Sus scrofa: one gene and its partner. The protein of the gene in region 1 purifies or fractionates together with the protein of each later gene. This does not show direct contact. Links are inferred from orthologs where the notes say so. Each region holds a gene or a part of one and is shown in the gene's direction. Other genes may lie near its edges.

Region 1 (7,601 bases):
ACAAGAAACCAGACATCAGGATTTTGAGGGGATGTCTCCCCCTTGTTAACACGGGCAAACGATTTCAGGCTTTTTATTTATTTATTTATTTATTTATTTATTTATATTTTGGCCTTGCCTGTGCGTGGGGACATTCCTGGGCCAGGGGTGGAACCCAAGCCACAGCAACAACCAGAGCGACAGCAACGCCGGGTCCTCCTGTGGCTCATTCTTGCGCACTGCTCGGGAAAGAATCCCAACTGGTGTCACTTCTAAGGACAGGAATGTGACGTCACACATGAACATCACAAGAGTGGATTTCCCGCTGTGGCGTGGCCGGTTAAGGGATCTGGCGTTGCCACCACTGCGGCTCAGATTCGCTCCCTGGGCCAGGAATGTCCATGTGCCACGGGGTGCAGCCAAAAAAGAAAAAAAAAAAAAATCGCAAGTGCAATACTCTTTAACTTGGCATACTCCCACCTCTGGGTATTTTATACACTCAGAATGAGGTGTTCAGGATAATGTTATCGTCACTTGGTTTGCCATAGCAAAAGTTTTGAAGGACTCTAAATGTCTGAAAAAGAAAAATAAAAAAAGGTTGACACATGCCACAACAAGGAGGAAACTTGAAAATGTTATACCGAGTGAAAGAAGTCAGGCACAGAAGGTCACAAACATAGGATTCCATTGATGGGAAGCATCCAGAATAGGCAAGTCCAGAGACAGGAAATAGATCAGTGGCTTCCAGGGGCCGGGTGAGGGGAAATGAGTGACTGATGGGGTTTTTTGGGGGTGGGGTGACAAAAATGTTGTGAAATCAGGCAGTGGTGATGGTTGCACAACTCTGCGGACACACTAAATCCACATACTGAACTGTACGCAGTATATGTTTTATGGTATGAAAATTGTATCTCAAAAAAGCTGTTAAAGAGTGAGAGATCCCCCTAGCTTTGATACTCAGTGATCATCAGGAAAAGAGTAAATGATTTGTTATCTCTTGTAAAGGGGAGGTGGATAAGAATGTATATTAATGGAGTTCCCGTCATGGTGCAGTGGTTAACGAATCTGACTAGGAACCATGAAGTTGCAGGTTCTATCCCTGGTCTTACTCAGTGGGTTAAGGACCCGGCATTGTCCTGAGCTATGGTGTAGGCCACAGAGGTGGCTCGGATCCTGCGTTGCTGTGACTGTGGTGTAAGCTGGTGGCTACAGCTCCCATTGGACCCCTAGCCTGGGAACCTCCATATGCCACGGGTGCGGCCCTGAGATAGCAAAAAAAAAAAAAAAAAAAAAAAAAAAGAGGGAGAGAGACCAAGATTTTTTTCACTTGAGTATTGTTTGAGTTTTGAGCCATGTGAAACAACTTTTTCTCAAAGTAGTCAGTTGTCAGATGCAGCGAGCTCATAAGGCAAGGCTGAAGAATGTTGGTTAACTGATGACTTTGGAGTTCCCTGGTGTCTCAGCGGGTTAAGGATCCAATGTTGTCACTGATGTAGCTTGGGTTTGATCCCTGGCCTGGGAACTTCCGCATGCCTCAGGCGTGGCTAAAAGAAAAAAAAAAAAAGGTGATTGATGGCTTTTCCAGGACGGAGTCACGGTGGAAGTAAAGCAGCTCATGGCGCATTCAAAAGTGAGTGAGAAACGGAGTTGTTGCCAGAGAATGCCTGTAACTTGTCTACCCATCCCAGCTAAAACATGCAGAGGAAGCACTTGAACGATTCACAGTTTGTCAACCTCTTCTGATACTTTCTGCTTTATTCCCGGATCAGACGGGACGGTCACACAGCCAGCCATCGGGTCCCCTGCGGCCTGGGGCGCCGCATCGGCTCGGGCCCCGCCCTGCCCTCTCCGGGCACAGCTGACCCTGCGGGCCTGTCTGCTGCCCCGCAGCCTCGGCGCGGGAGTCGCTGCACCCAGCCACCCTGCGGAGGGGTCGCGCCCGAGGCCGAGGCCCCGGGCCGCCGGAAGCTGAGCGGAGAGGACCAGCCACCGGAGGACCGGGATCTCTGGTGGGATGTGGCCGACCACCGGCTACCTGGGATGACAGATTCCCAGCGTTGGGTTCCCGGGACCCATCGGGGAAACGGAGGACGTAACCCCAGGGGTGGTAGGTAGGGGCTGACAAGGGAAGAGGCGCCTAAAGGAGGAGGACGTCCCGATGCGGCCGCCAGGGTGGCATCCGGCCACCTCATCCCCCCAAGCTCCCGGGACCAGCCGCGGCAGCTGGGCGCAGATGCCCCTGCCCGTGGGGAGCGCGCGCGCGGGGGGCGGTGCCTCCCAGTCTCGCGGCGCCCGGGGCTGCCAGCGCGCATGCGTGCGAGGCCGGCGCCAGGCCGCAGCGCCCCTGTGGAGCGCCGAGTGCCTGCTGGGCGGCTCCCGCCAGCGGACTGGCCGGCGGTGCGCGCGCTGGTGGAGGCGGGGCTTCCTCGGCAGGGGGGCCCGGATTGGGCTCAGCCAGTGGAAGGGGTGGGTGCCTCCGCCGAGGCCATCCAGGGATTGGCCAGAGCCTGCGGAGGCGTGGTCTCGGGGGGCGGGGCGGGGACCGGCCCGGCAGAATGCGCGCCGCTGAGGTGGTGGTGGAGGCGGCGGTCTAGGGAGCGGGAGGGTCTTCGGGTCCCCCACCCCGACCGGGGGCCGGGAGGCCGGGGACCCCAGGAGGCGGGGGCCCGCGACCTCCAGGGCTCGGGCGGCGTCGGGGTGAGGCGCCGGGCGCCGAGCGCGGCCCGAGAAGAGCGGGCGCCCCGCCCCTCGCTTTCTTCCTGGACCGCGCCTCGCGGCACCTCCCCCACCGCCGACCCCGCGCCCCGCGCGGACCTGAGCCCGGGGCCCGCGCGCGCGGTGGGGGACGCGGGCTGCGCGCATCGCTCGCTCGGGCCGGCCGGGTGCGGGGCCCCTGAGCCCGGCGGCGGGCCCCTCTTCCCCAGCGTTTCCGCGCAGACGCCATGGCCGAGCCCCTGAAGGAGGAAGACGGCGAGGACGGCTCCGGGGAGCCCCCCGGGCCGGTGAAGGCGGAACCCGCCGGCCCCGCCGCCTCCGTGGCGGCCAAGAACCTGGCTCTGCTGAAGGCCCGCTCCTTCGACGTGACCTTCGACGTGGGGGACGAGTACGAGATCATCGAGACCATCGGCAACGGGGCCTACGGGGTGGTGTCTTCCGCGCGCCGCCGCCTCACGGGTGAGCGCCGGCGGGCGGGCCGGGGTGTGCACACTGGGGGCCAGGCGCCCGGTGCCCGCTTGTGCAGGGCCCAGGTCTCTGCAGCCCCGGCGCGGTGGGTGCCAGCGCATCGGTTCGCGTCCTCCTCAGAAAGTCGAGCGTCCGGGTGAGACCAGGGTGCAGATTTCCCGGAACGTGTTCCGGAGCCGAGGCTGGCGCAGGCGGTTGGCGGTGCCATAGCTGGGGGCAGAGATGGGCCGAGCAGGGCGCTAGCACGGCGTTGGAGTCTAGACTCTACCCCTCGCCGGCTGGCAGCGCCGCCCGCAGGGAGCCCCGGCTCCACGTGTCTTCGTGGGCTCTGAGCACCTGCCGGGGAGAGGAGGAGGGGCAGCTGGTGGTGCAGGTGCTGTGCTGAGCCCAGGACCGGGCACACAGTAGGCGCTCGGTGCAGGGAAGCTGTTGTCCCTGCGTCTTAGAAGGGAGGGGGTGAAAGGGGCCGCGCGCCACTCCGAGCTCCGCCAAGGTCCCTCAGGGCATCCGCTTTCCCTGCGCCCCAGGCCAGCAGGTGGCCATCAAGAAGATCCCTAACGCTTTTGACGTGGTGACCAACGCCAAGCGGACCCTCCGGGAGCTGAAGATCCTCAAGCACTTCAAGCACGACAACATCATCGCCATCAAGGACATCCTGAGGCCCACCGTGCCCTACGGCGAGTTCAAGTCTGTGTAAGGAGGGGCGGCGGGAGGCAGAGCGGGCACCTTTTCGGAAGGCTGGGGCCATAGCGCTCAAGTTCTGGACCTTGTGCAAGGCAGGCTGGGCAACCTCCCACCATCCCAAGACCAGGGCTCCCTTGGGGTTTTGCCGGGGCCACCCGAGATTCCTCCGGAAGAGCGTGAGGTAGCTGCGTAGGATGGCAACGCGCGGGCTGGCAGAGGGAAGCCCCGCATTCCGTGTCTACCATGGCTGCTCCCCTAGCAGACATCACTAATCAATCACAGACTACGGAAGCCCCTCCCGTCTCCATCACCGTCTTCCATGAGCCACTACCAGACCTCCCCCGACAAAACCTATTGGCCAGGCGGGTTTAGCCCAAGCCCACCTTTTCTCTGGTGGCGACACTAGTAGTTTCCCTTAAGTTCATGGAAAGTTGTAGGACATCTAGAATCTTCACACCACCTGGGTGGCGCCTACAGCATCTGAGAGTTAGGCCCCGACCCGTCTGGAGCTGGGAGAGCTGGGTGAGGATGGGGCTGGAGCGTCACCAGGACCCCCCGCCCCCCGCCTCTCCCCTGCCCTCAGCTACGTGGTCCTGGACCTGATGGAGAGCGACCTGCACCAGATCATCCACTCCTCGCAGCCGCTGACGCTGGAGCACGTGCGCTACTTCCTGTACCAGCTGCTGCGGGGCCTCAAGTACATGCACTCGGCTCAGGTCATCCACCGCGACCTCAAGCCGTCCAACCTGCTGGTGAATGAGAACTGCGAGCTGAAGATCGGGGACTTTGGCATGGCCCGCGGCCTGTGCACCTCGCCCGCGGAGCACCAGTACTTCATGACCGAGTACGTGGCCACGCGCTGGTACCGCGCCCCCGAGCTCATGCTCTCGCTGCACGAGTACACGCAGGCCATCGACCTGTGGTCCGTGGGCTGCATCTTTGGGGAGATGCTGGCCCGGCGCCAGCTCTTCCCGGGCAAAAACTACGTGCACCAGCTGCAGCTGATCATGATGGTGCTGGGCACCCCGTCGCCGGCCGTGATTCAGGCCGTGGGGGCGGAGCGGGTGCGGGCCTACATCCAGAGCCTGCCGCCTCGCCAGCCCGTGCCCTGGGAGACCGTGTACCCGGGGGCCGACCGCCAGGCCCTCTCCCTTCTGGGCCACATGCTGCGTTTTGAGCCCAGTGCCCGCATCTCAGCCGCTGCCGCCCTCCGTCACCCCTTCCTGGCCAAGTACCACGACCCGGATGACGAGCCCGACTGTGCCCCGCCCTTTGACTTTGCCTTTGACCGTGAAGCCCTCACCCGGGAGCGCATCAAGGAGGCCATTGTGGCCGAGATCGAGGACTTCCACGCGCGGCGAGAGGGCATCCGCCAGCAGATCCGCTTCCAGCCTTCCCTGCAGCCTGTGGCCAGTGAGCCCGGCTGCCCCGACGTTGAGATGCCCAGTCCCTGGGCTCCCAGCGGGGACTGTGCCATGGAGTCCCCTCCGCCGGCCCCACTGCCGTGCACCGGCCCTGCGCCCGACACCATCGATCTGACCCTGCAGCCACCCCCGCCGGCCAGTGAGCCAGCCCCTCCAAAGAGGGAGGGTGCCATCTCGGACAACACCAAGGCCGCCCTCAAGGCCGCCCTGCTCAAGTCCTTGCAGAGCCGGCTCCGAGGTGCGTGGCAGAGGCGGTGGCTGGCTGGGGAGTGGGGCCGAGGGGACCCCCCCCAGCCTGGACGGGCTCTTAGTGTCACCCTGCCCGTCTTCCCCACAGATGGCCCCAGCGCCCCCCTGGAAGCTCCTGAGCCTCGCAAGCCGGTGACAGCCCAGGAGCGCCAGCGCGAGCGGGAGGAGAAGCGGCGGCGGCGGCAGGAGCGAGCCAAGGAGCGGGAAAAGCGGCGGCAGGAGCGGGAGCGCAAGGAGCGGGGAGCCGGGGCCTCGGGGGGCCCCTCCGCCGACCCCTTGGCCGGGCTGGTGCTCAGCGACAATGATCGCAGCCTGCTGGAGCGCTGGACTCGCATGGCCCGGCCCCCGGCCCCCGCTCCAGGGCCGCTGCCAGCCCGGCCTCCCAGCCCACCCTCTGGCCCCGCAGCCCAGCCCGCTGCGCCCCCGCCGCAGCCTGCCTGCCCGGCCCCGGGCCCTGGGCCTGGGCCTGCTCCACTCCAAACCGCTGCCTCCTCCGGCCTCCTGGCCCCGCCGTCGCTGGTGCCTCCCCCTGGGCTGCCCGGCCCCAGCGGCCTGAGCGTTCTGCCTTATTTCCCCTCTGGCCCACCCCCTCCAGACCCCGGGGGCGTCCCTCAACCCTCCACCTCAGAGTCCCCCGACGTCACCCTCGTGACCCAGCAACTGTCCAAGTCACAGGTGAGGGGAGAGGCCTGGCTGTGGGCGCACGCGGATCTGAGCCTAGGGGGAGGGTTTGGGAGGCCCTTGTTCTGTGCGAACCGAGCGGCAGGCGGGGCACCATCCCTCCTGACGGGTCCCCTTGCTCCCAGAAGGAACTCGGGTCTTTGGGGGCACCAGCTGCTCAGCGGGTGTCCAGGCAGTGCTGGGACAGGCGCCCTGCAGACCTGGCAGCTCTGGACGGTGCCTGCGTTGTAAGTTGCCATCGTCCCCTGCAGGTGGAAGACCCCTTGCCCCCCGTGTTCTCGGGCACCCCAAAGGGCAGCGGGGCTGGCTATGGCGTCGGCTTTGACCTGGAGGAATTCCTCAACCAGTCTTTCGACATGGGCGTGGCTGATGGGCCCCAGGACGGGTAAGTGCTGGGCCTCCGCTGGGGCAGGGGGTGCGGCTCCCCGGGCCGGGGGCCCTGCCTGTGGGACAGGCTGACGGCGCCTCTGCCTCCCCACCCTCCGTGTCAGCAGCCAGGCAGACTCGGCCTCGCTCTCGGCCTCCCTGCTTGCCGACTGGCTCGAGGGCCACGGCATGAACCCCGCTGACATCGAGTCCCTACAGCGTGAGATCCAGATGGACTCCCCGATGCTGCTGGCTGACCTGCCCGACCTCCAGGAGCCCTGAGGCCCCTCGTCTGTGCCTTGCTGCCAGGGGCAGACCCAGCTCCAAGACCCCTAGGGACAGTCCCCAGGCCTCCGGGACCCACAGGGACGGTCTCCAGGGCTGGAGCCGAGCCCAGCCAGGAAGCTCAGCTCGGTTCTCCTGCAGGTTCATCTCACACCCACCCTGCAGCCTTAAGCAGCCACCTGAGCCAGCACGAGCCACAGCAGGAGGGGAAGCCTTTATCCCCGTGCGATTCTTCTCAGTATTGTATTTTTATTATTATTATTATTGTTATTATTATTATTACACAGTTTTTGCCATCAGAGTGAAGCCTGTGAAATACAAGGTTCCTTTAGCGTCGTCTGCAGGGCGTGATTTTGGAGCTGGGGGCAGGGTGCTGTCAACGGGGCACCAGACACGCTGCATGCACTACAGCCAAGGCCAGGTCCTGAGGTTTATTGAGACCGCCACTCGCCACCTGCCCTGCCCCACAGAGGCGGCCCTCTGCCCTCACATGCTCACAACCGCCCCCCAGGGCAGGCAGGGGGCCCTCGCTCCATGCCTACCTTGGCTGGGGCTGCTGCGGGCTGGCCTGCGGTAGCTGTAGCGGAACACAGCTTTGGGGCTGTGCTTGGTGCCCGGGGCGGGCAGGCGGGGGCAGCGGGGGTCCCTGGGCTCACTGCTGGGGAGCGAGCTGGCGGGAGGAAGGTGAGGACGGGAGATACTCTGCCAGCCGGCGGGACTGCTGGGGTGTGGCGGCGGCCTGGCGTGTGC
Region 2 (7,438 bases), on another chromosome or scaffold:
GAGGATGCAGGTTGGATCCCTGGCCTCCCTCAGTGGGTTAAGGATCTGGCGTTGGCATGAGCTGTGGTGTAGGTCACTTGGATCCTGAGTTGCTGTGGTGTAGGCTGGTGGCTACAGCTCTGATAAGACCCCTTGCCTGGGAACCTCCATATGCTTTGGATGCAGCTCTTAATGTTCTGAAGAGGTGTCCTCTTACCTCCCAGTGGGCTGGGCCTGTAACAGATCCAAAAGCTGAAGGGTAGGTAAGTATTTCTGCTCCAGCCTGAACCAATGCCAGAGAGAGTTCAGGGAACCGCATGTCATAGCAGATAGCTAGACCAATCTGGAATGAAGAACAGCCTATTTAGCTCCCCTGCCCTGTTTGTCACAGCATCTGGTCATTCCCCCCTCTTCCCCACTCCCTGTCTCTCAATCCTCTATTACTACTTCAAAGTATTCCTATTCCCCTCCCTCTTGTTTCTCTCCCACCCTCACCCCTTCACAAATCCCACCTTGCCTGCTGGTGTGCTGACCGGAGGCTCAAGACTGGGCCCAGGTATGGTAGAGTTGCTTTCACACATAGGCCCCTGCCCTGGAATCTCAACATCACACAGATGCGTCTTCCTGTAAGTGGCCACTACTGACCCTAGAGTAAGAAGAAGTAAGAGTACTCAGTGCTGGTGCTCTAGAAGACCAGCTTGGTTCCTCTCCTCCCAAGGAGAAGAGAGCTTGTAGGCTAGGAACAGAGGTACAAATGCCCTTAAAACCCTTGCCCAAGGGAACAGTTGAGAAACAAAATTCTGGAGAATCTTAGCTTAGGTAGAAGAGCCTGAGAAGAGGCAGGCTAAAGAGTTACGAGGTCTCACCCGTGTTGTTCAGAATCACATGACAATTGTAGATTTTCTGAGTCTGCTCCCAGTCTTGGCCACGCTCATGGAAACCACCCAAGGACAGCCAGAGTCCACATTCCCTGAGGGGGAGGGGACACTGACAACTCTTCTCAAGTCTCTACCCTCATATCTGGCAATTCCGATATTACCCAAAAAGAAACTACCTCTCCCTCCCCCTTTCCCTGATACCTGGCAAGCTGGGTATATTCTCCCAAAAGTTTCCCACCCAGTGGCTCAGACAGGCGTAGCGTCTCTTCAGGGTCCCTTCCAATGAAGTCAAATGCCTCAGGCAGGAAAGCCAGGCAAGCGCCCAGTCTGGCAGCCTCTCGAACCAGCTCAGCACATGTTTTAAAGTTCTGCTGCTTGTCCGGTGTGGATGTTACCTGGCACACAGCCACGAGGGGCAAGTCCCAGGAGGAAGAGGAAATAGCCATGGATCTGGGTCTGTGAATGGCACAGGCAAGACTCAGATTTCCTAGAGTGGGGAAGCCCGAGTTTAATGATAAGGGGCTTAAAGGGGGAGGCAGGAAAGCTAGACTTCCCTTTAAACCTGCTCTTACAAGGCACAATGATCCATGCAATAAGGACCCACTGATCAAATGTTCTGTGAGTGGCTGGCACCCCAATGTTTCCCAACATCTATTCATTTATTGAGCATCTACTATGTGCCAGGCACTGAGGACACAACAAAACATGTTACCTGGGCTGAGCACAAAGTATTGAGAGTCGAAGTATCCGGAGCCGAGGACCCAAAAGAAGGGACAGGAGCTGGTGAGGAGGCCTGATGATGAAGCCCAGCCTGAAGAAGGTGAGAAATCAGGACACCAACCCCACCATCAAGCAATACATTTCTAAGATCCTTTGGTTTCTCTCTTCATACTGTGAGGCTGAATCTGGGCACCACCGGTAAAAACCCCTAAGTCTTTAAGACACTCGTTAACTATGGTTAATCACGGCTACCGGAAGAGAGCACAAAGTGGGAAAATCGAGGAAAGGGCTCTGCGCAGCATTCGAATATCTCGACTTCCAGTGATCTCACATTAAACTGAAGTCCTTTTTCTCAGCCAAACGTTTCCGCAGTTCAAAAGTCATCCTCGAGATATTTCCTTGATTTTCCCAGCCTCTCTTATTGACTGTGCACCTGCACAGTTTTACTGACTCAAAGCATATTTTCCCCCTTCCACCAGAATCTCTGAGAAGTTCACCCTACCCCACCCCGCCGCCCGTGCCTCACCACCCGCTGTGTGGGCAGAGGGCACTGGCACCCAGATCCCAACCCGCGCCCCGCTCTCCAGTTAACCCATCTGGAGACTCTCTCAGGGGCAGCGTCTCTGTTGCACAAGATAAAGCACCACAGGTGTAATTCACCGCGGCGGGCGGGCTAGGTAGCAGGTCCTACATGAAGGCACGGCCAAAACCATTAACAGGATCCGAACCGAACAGGGGCCTGGAAGAAGAGGAGCCTGGCGCCGGGGGCGAGTGGGCGGTAACTCCGAGACCGGACGTGACGCAAGGCGGGGGCCGAGCTGCGCAGGCCGGAAGCTCAGCAGGCGGTGAAGATGGCGGAGAGCAGCAGTCGCGCCGGCAAGAGCAGCGGGAGCGGCGCGGGGAAGGGGGCGGTGTCAGCCGAGCAGGTGAGGAGCTGGGAATGCGAAGGAGGGCAACCCGGCCGGGTCCGGAGTCGATGCGAGAAGAGGGGAGAAGCCTATGGTTGGTGTACGCCTTTACTATAGTCGCACATTTGCGTGGCCACCCAGAGAGGGGAAGGTCCTTGTAGAAGCTAGCCGAGCCCTTGGGGAGAGATAGGCGGATTGGTAGGTGAAAGCCACGCCCCCTTGGGGGTGTTGGGTGAGCCGAGGGGTGGGAGGGAGGAAGCTCTAGGGAAGCAGAGTCTGGGAGGTTGCACAGGTCTGAGGGAAGAAGGGTGGTCACTTTCCCCACTTTGCCTCCGCACTCTCAAACAGGCTGTGGGTGAGCAAGGCCAGTTCATAAGGAATCCCAGGGAGTTAGTCAACGGGTTGATTGTGTAGTCTGTTACGTGACCCTGAAACCACGTTTAAAACCGTCGTCACTCCGCAGAGCCACGTGACTCACATACGCGAATAGTCTAGTGTTCCATACTATTTTGATTCGGGAGTCATTATTGCACTGAATTTATTTAGAGACCAGAAATCCTTTACTAATCCGAGCTTACATTTCCCCAGTGCCTAGCATCCGGAAACGATTGAAAAATAATCAGAAAGCCCTTTGTTGCTTGGGAATCATGATTTACTAATAGTGGATCTAGTGTTTACTTGGAGTGGGAAGAAATCTGCGTAACAGAAAGGAAAACGTAGTTAAAACAACAGCTTTTTTGGTTATAGGTTCATTTATCAGTTATTTGTTAAACAGTTACTGTAGCAGAGGTATCTGCATAAAGATTTTAAAAATTGACCCGTGCAATCAGAGTTCATAGTCTGGAGGGGAAAATGCTAGTATGAGGTAGAAGAGAGATATACAGCCCTATGGGATTTGGGGGAAGGGGGAAGAGAAAATTCCTCTTAGGGGGAAAAAGGCAAGGGAGAAGGAACCTAATACTTTTTGAGGGTCTGCCGTGTGTTAGACATTCTGCTGGGTATGGGGAAACATAAATGAAATACGGCCTTGTAACCTTGTTTTCAGGTTAGCTCACAGACTCATTTGCAAAAAGAAACCAAACATTAAGCTTTACAGTGTTCTTCACAGGGCTTTTTCTTCTTTTTTAAAATTATAGTTGATTTACAATGTTTTACCAGTTTCTGCTGCACAGCAAAGTGACTCAGTGGTACCTATAGGTACATTCTTTTTAAAAATATTATTTTCCATCATGGTCTATCCCAGGAGATTGCATATATCCATTCTAAATGTAATAGTTTGCATATACTAACCCCAAGCTGCCAGTCTATCCCACTCCCTCCCCTCTCCCCCTTGGCAACCACAGGTCTGTTCTCTGTGTCCTCACTGGGCCTTCTGCTAGAGGAGGGACCCCTAACTAACTAAGCAGGAGATTGAGATTGGGGATTGGGTGGTAAAGGGAAGTGTGGAAAAGTGGGGTGGCTAAGAGTGTAAGGAGTGCAATGGGTTCAGACAGATCTGTGTTTGAATTACATTTCTACCTTTCACTGTTACTTTCAGATTAGAGAATTATGAGTTTATGGATAGTGGACAAAGCCATGGTTGTGGAGGAAATCCTCTAGAGTTTGCACAGAAAGTGAACAAAGAAGTAGAATAAGAGTGAAATCAATAGTTAAGTGATGGTAGAGAAAAAGAAACTCAAAAGAGACTGAAGAATTTTGATAATTGAGTTCTGAGGCCATTCCTTGCTTAATATTCTCTGACCTTTTTGTTCCAGAGAGAACACTGGGTAAAAAAAAATATTATAATTGTCACTGCTGCAAATTTGAGCCACATAGGCAAGATGGAAGCAAATAACACATCAAACTAGGCACTTGTTTTATCTTCTGTTATTTAATTACTGCTATTTGAAGTAGCTGTATTATTGTCAGGATGAGTTTCAGACTTAATTAACTTACTCAGAGTCAGTAACTGGGAGAGCAGGGCTTTTAAATGCAGAACTTGTGAATTAGACAGGCCTATTTTTTCTATTTGTACCATGATCATATTAGAGATATTTGAGCTGAGCCTGAAGGATTGGATAGATTGGAACAGGTGGCAGTAGAAATAGAATATAGAGAATCAAGAAAGGAGGGGAGATCTGGGAAAGCATAGATTGAGATGGAGTGCAGTGACTGATTTGTTTTGCTAAATCATGAGTCAGAAAGATGTCCTTAAAACAAGCTGAGTCATTGCATGACAAAGAATTTAGGACTTTTTAACATAAGCAGTGAGGGTGTCATAGAATGATACATGTTATACTGTTGATTTTTTTTTTTTTTTGTCTGTTTGTTTGCCTTTTAGGGCTGCACCCTTGGCATATGGAAGTTCCCAGGCTAGGGGTCAAATTGGAGTTAAAGCTGTTGGTCCTACACCACAGCCACAGCCATGTCAATGCTGGGTCCCCAACCTGCTGAACAAGGCAGGGATGGAACCCATATCCTCATGAATATTAGTCAGATTTGTTTCCACTGCACCACAGCAGGAACTACTGATTTTTTTCTTATTATGTAAAATAATACACGTTAATGTAGAAAATGTAGAAAACACAAGAAAAATTACAAAATAAGAAATAAATTATCCATGATCCTACTATCCAGAAATAACTATCCTTACCATTTTTGAATGTATTTTTTTTTTTTTTTCTTCCCATTTTTAGCTGTCCTGAAGCACATGGAGCTCCCGGGCCAGGGATCAGATCTGAGCCCCAGTCTAGACCTCAGCTGAAGCTGTGGCAGTGCTGGATCCTTAACCCACTGCACCACCAGGGAACACCCCTCCTTATGTTTTTGTGTATGTGTGAATAGATGGAAGGAGATGGCATGTGTGTATTACAAATTTACATATTTAATTTTATAAAATTAGTATTATACAGTATGTGCTGTGTTGTTATATGCTTTTTTCCCCCCTTTGGCCATGCCAAAAACAAGAAAAACCAAAAAAGTATATCATGAATATTTTTGTGTCATCCAAGTGCTAGAAGAATTAAATTAGCAGTGGTGTGAAAGATGGATTTGGAGAGTCCAAAAATGGGAGATCATTTAGATTATTGCCATATTTCAGACAAGATATGAGCCGAGTCTGCAACCTTCACTACAGCTCACAGCAATGCTGGATCCTTAACCCACTGAGCAAGGCCAGGGATTGAACCCACAACCTCATGGTTCCTAGCTGGAGTTGTTTCTCATGTATCACAAGATGGGAACTCTTCCTTCTTCTAACTTGGAAATGTGGATCTAGAATCCTGAGGAGGCCTGGATTTATAGACAGTTACAATAAAGGCAATTGAAACCACAGAAGTAGCTATGAATACCAGTTGAAACTGTATAGGTAATAAAGGGAGAAGTCCTATGATTATAATCTTAGATCCAGTCTCTATTGTAGGGATGAGAAGAATTCTTTTAGGAAGGAGAAAGGGGGTTGAGAGAGGTAGAATCAGAGAACTGAAGGGTGCTGGATACTAAAGGAGAGTAGAGGGCCTGCATTGTAATGAGCATTTGACATATCATCCTGGTTAAGTTCTCATTGTTACCTCATGGCAGTGGTTCCCAACCTGCTTTGGTTTTGACCCTAGGAGACATTTGGCAATGCTTTTAGCCATTTGTACTTCTGACAAGTAGAGGGAGCTGCTAGAAGGGTAGAAGCCTGGTGGGATGTTGCTAAACATCCTACAGTGCACAGGACAGCCCCCAATAACAAAGAATTATCTGGCCCCAAATATCATACTGATGTTGGGAAACCCTGCCCTGTGGTATATTAGCTCCATTTTATGAGGAAAATGAGGAAAAAAGAGAGATGACTTTGTCATGTAAAAGTAAATGGCAAAACTAGGATTCTAATCCAGGTCATACTCAAAAGTTTTGGGCTCTTACCATGTTACTTAGTTAAAGGAAGAGAGTTTTAAGAAGCAGATTGAAGATTAAGAAAAGGTCTTTGGTGATGCAGTTAGGTAGGAGGCCGTTCATGATCTCTGAGAGGATAGTTTAATAAGTAATAATAGTTGGAGTTCCCGTCGTGCTCACTGGAAATGAATCTGAATAGCATCCATGAAGACAAGGTTCCACCCCGGCCTCGCTCAGTGGGCTAAGGATTGGGCATTGCCATGAGCTGTTGTGTAGGTCAAAGACATGGCTGTATCCTGTGTTGCTGTGGTTGTGGTGGTGGCATAGGCCGGCAGCTACAGCTCTGATTCGACCCCTAGCCTGGGAACCTCCATATACCTTGGGTGTGGCTCTAAAAAGACAAAACAAAACAAAACCCCATAATAACAGTTGAATGACTTAGTATAGACAGTAGGCAATTTAAAGTGGATTGAGAGTGAATGGGGGGTGAGGAAGTGGAGGCAGTGAGTATAGACTAGTCCTAAAAAAGGGTGAAGAAAAGGATGAGAACCATCATTTGATGGAGAAGTAAGATCAAAGAAGTTTCTAGAATTGAGTATATTTGTCAGAAAAGGGAGCACTGAACTGAAAAGAAGATATTTAGTGCAGTTATGATAGCCCAGGAAATACTTTTCCCGATGCATCCAGTCATAATTCTCTATCTCTTCTATTCTTCCATTGAACCGAATAAGAGTGATTATCACGTGGATAAGAAGACCAAAGGACATTTGGGGTATAAATGTAATGATTGTAGATTTTCCCCAAAGTTAACAAAACTATATGGTATCAGTTAAAAAAGAAAGAAAACATAAAAATAAATCAAATAGAAATAATTTTACTTTTATAAGAGATTATTATGTGACAAGCCAGGAATAAACACAAATAGAAAACAGATTCTTAGACAAACCCAAGTGAAAGTAGCAGTTCTACCATTCATGTGTTATTTTATTCACCTCCCCAGCCCTAATAATAAAGTAAAATGGTATTTTATTTATTCCACCAGTCCTGGTTTCCTGATCTATAAATTGAAGGTGCATGTCTTAAAATGTTTTTTGG

Evidence for each region.
Region 2: the proteins of MAPK7 (region 1) and PFDN2 purify together in Homo sapiens (affinity purification with mass spectrometry; 3 studies listed by BioGRID and IntAct, with this or other methods). This does not show direct contact. The link is inferred for Sus scrofa from reciprocal best matches to the Homo sapiens genes MAPK7 and PFDN2.

The regions. Positions count from the first base shown.
Region 1 is NC_010454.4:60,143,689-60,151,289, reverse strand, and holds MAPK7 (mitogen-activated protein kinase 7), read left to right. Parts: upstream 1-2,546; 5' UTR 2,547-2,921; coding exon 2,922-3,153; intron 3,154-3,689; coding exon 3,690-3,855; intron 3,856-4,429; coding exon 4,430-5,508; intron 5,509-5,607; coding exon 5,608-6,194; intron 6,195-6,451; coding exon 6,452-6,585; intron 6,586-6,691; coding exon 6,692-6,848; 3' UTR 6,849-7,152; downstream 7,153-7,601. UniProt on the Homo sapiens protein: Plays a role in various cellular processes such as proliferation, differentiation and cell survival. The upstream activator of MAPK7 is the MAPK kinase MAP2K5.
Region 2 is NC_010446.5:89,324,412-89,331,849, forward strand, and holds the start of PFDN2 (prefoldin subunit 2), read left to right. Parts: upstream 1-2,369; 5' UTR 2,370-2,428; coding exon 2,429-2,503; exon of another isoform or gene 2,504-2,646; intron 2,647-7,438. Other genes in the region: NIT1 (nitrilase homolog 1), read right to left, coding at 197-322, 492-625, 846-949, 1,059-1,313, 1,570-1,668, 2,238-2,290. UniProt on the Homo sapiens protein: Binds specifically to cytosolic chaperonin (c-CPN) and transfers target proteins to it. Binds to nascent polypeptide chain and promotes folding in an environment in which there are many competing pathways for nonnative proteins.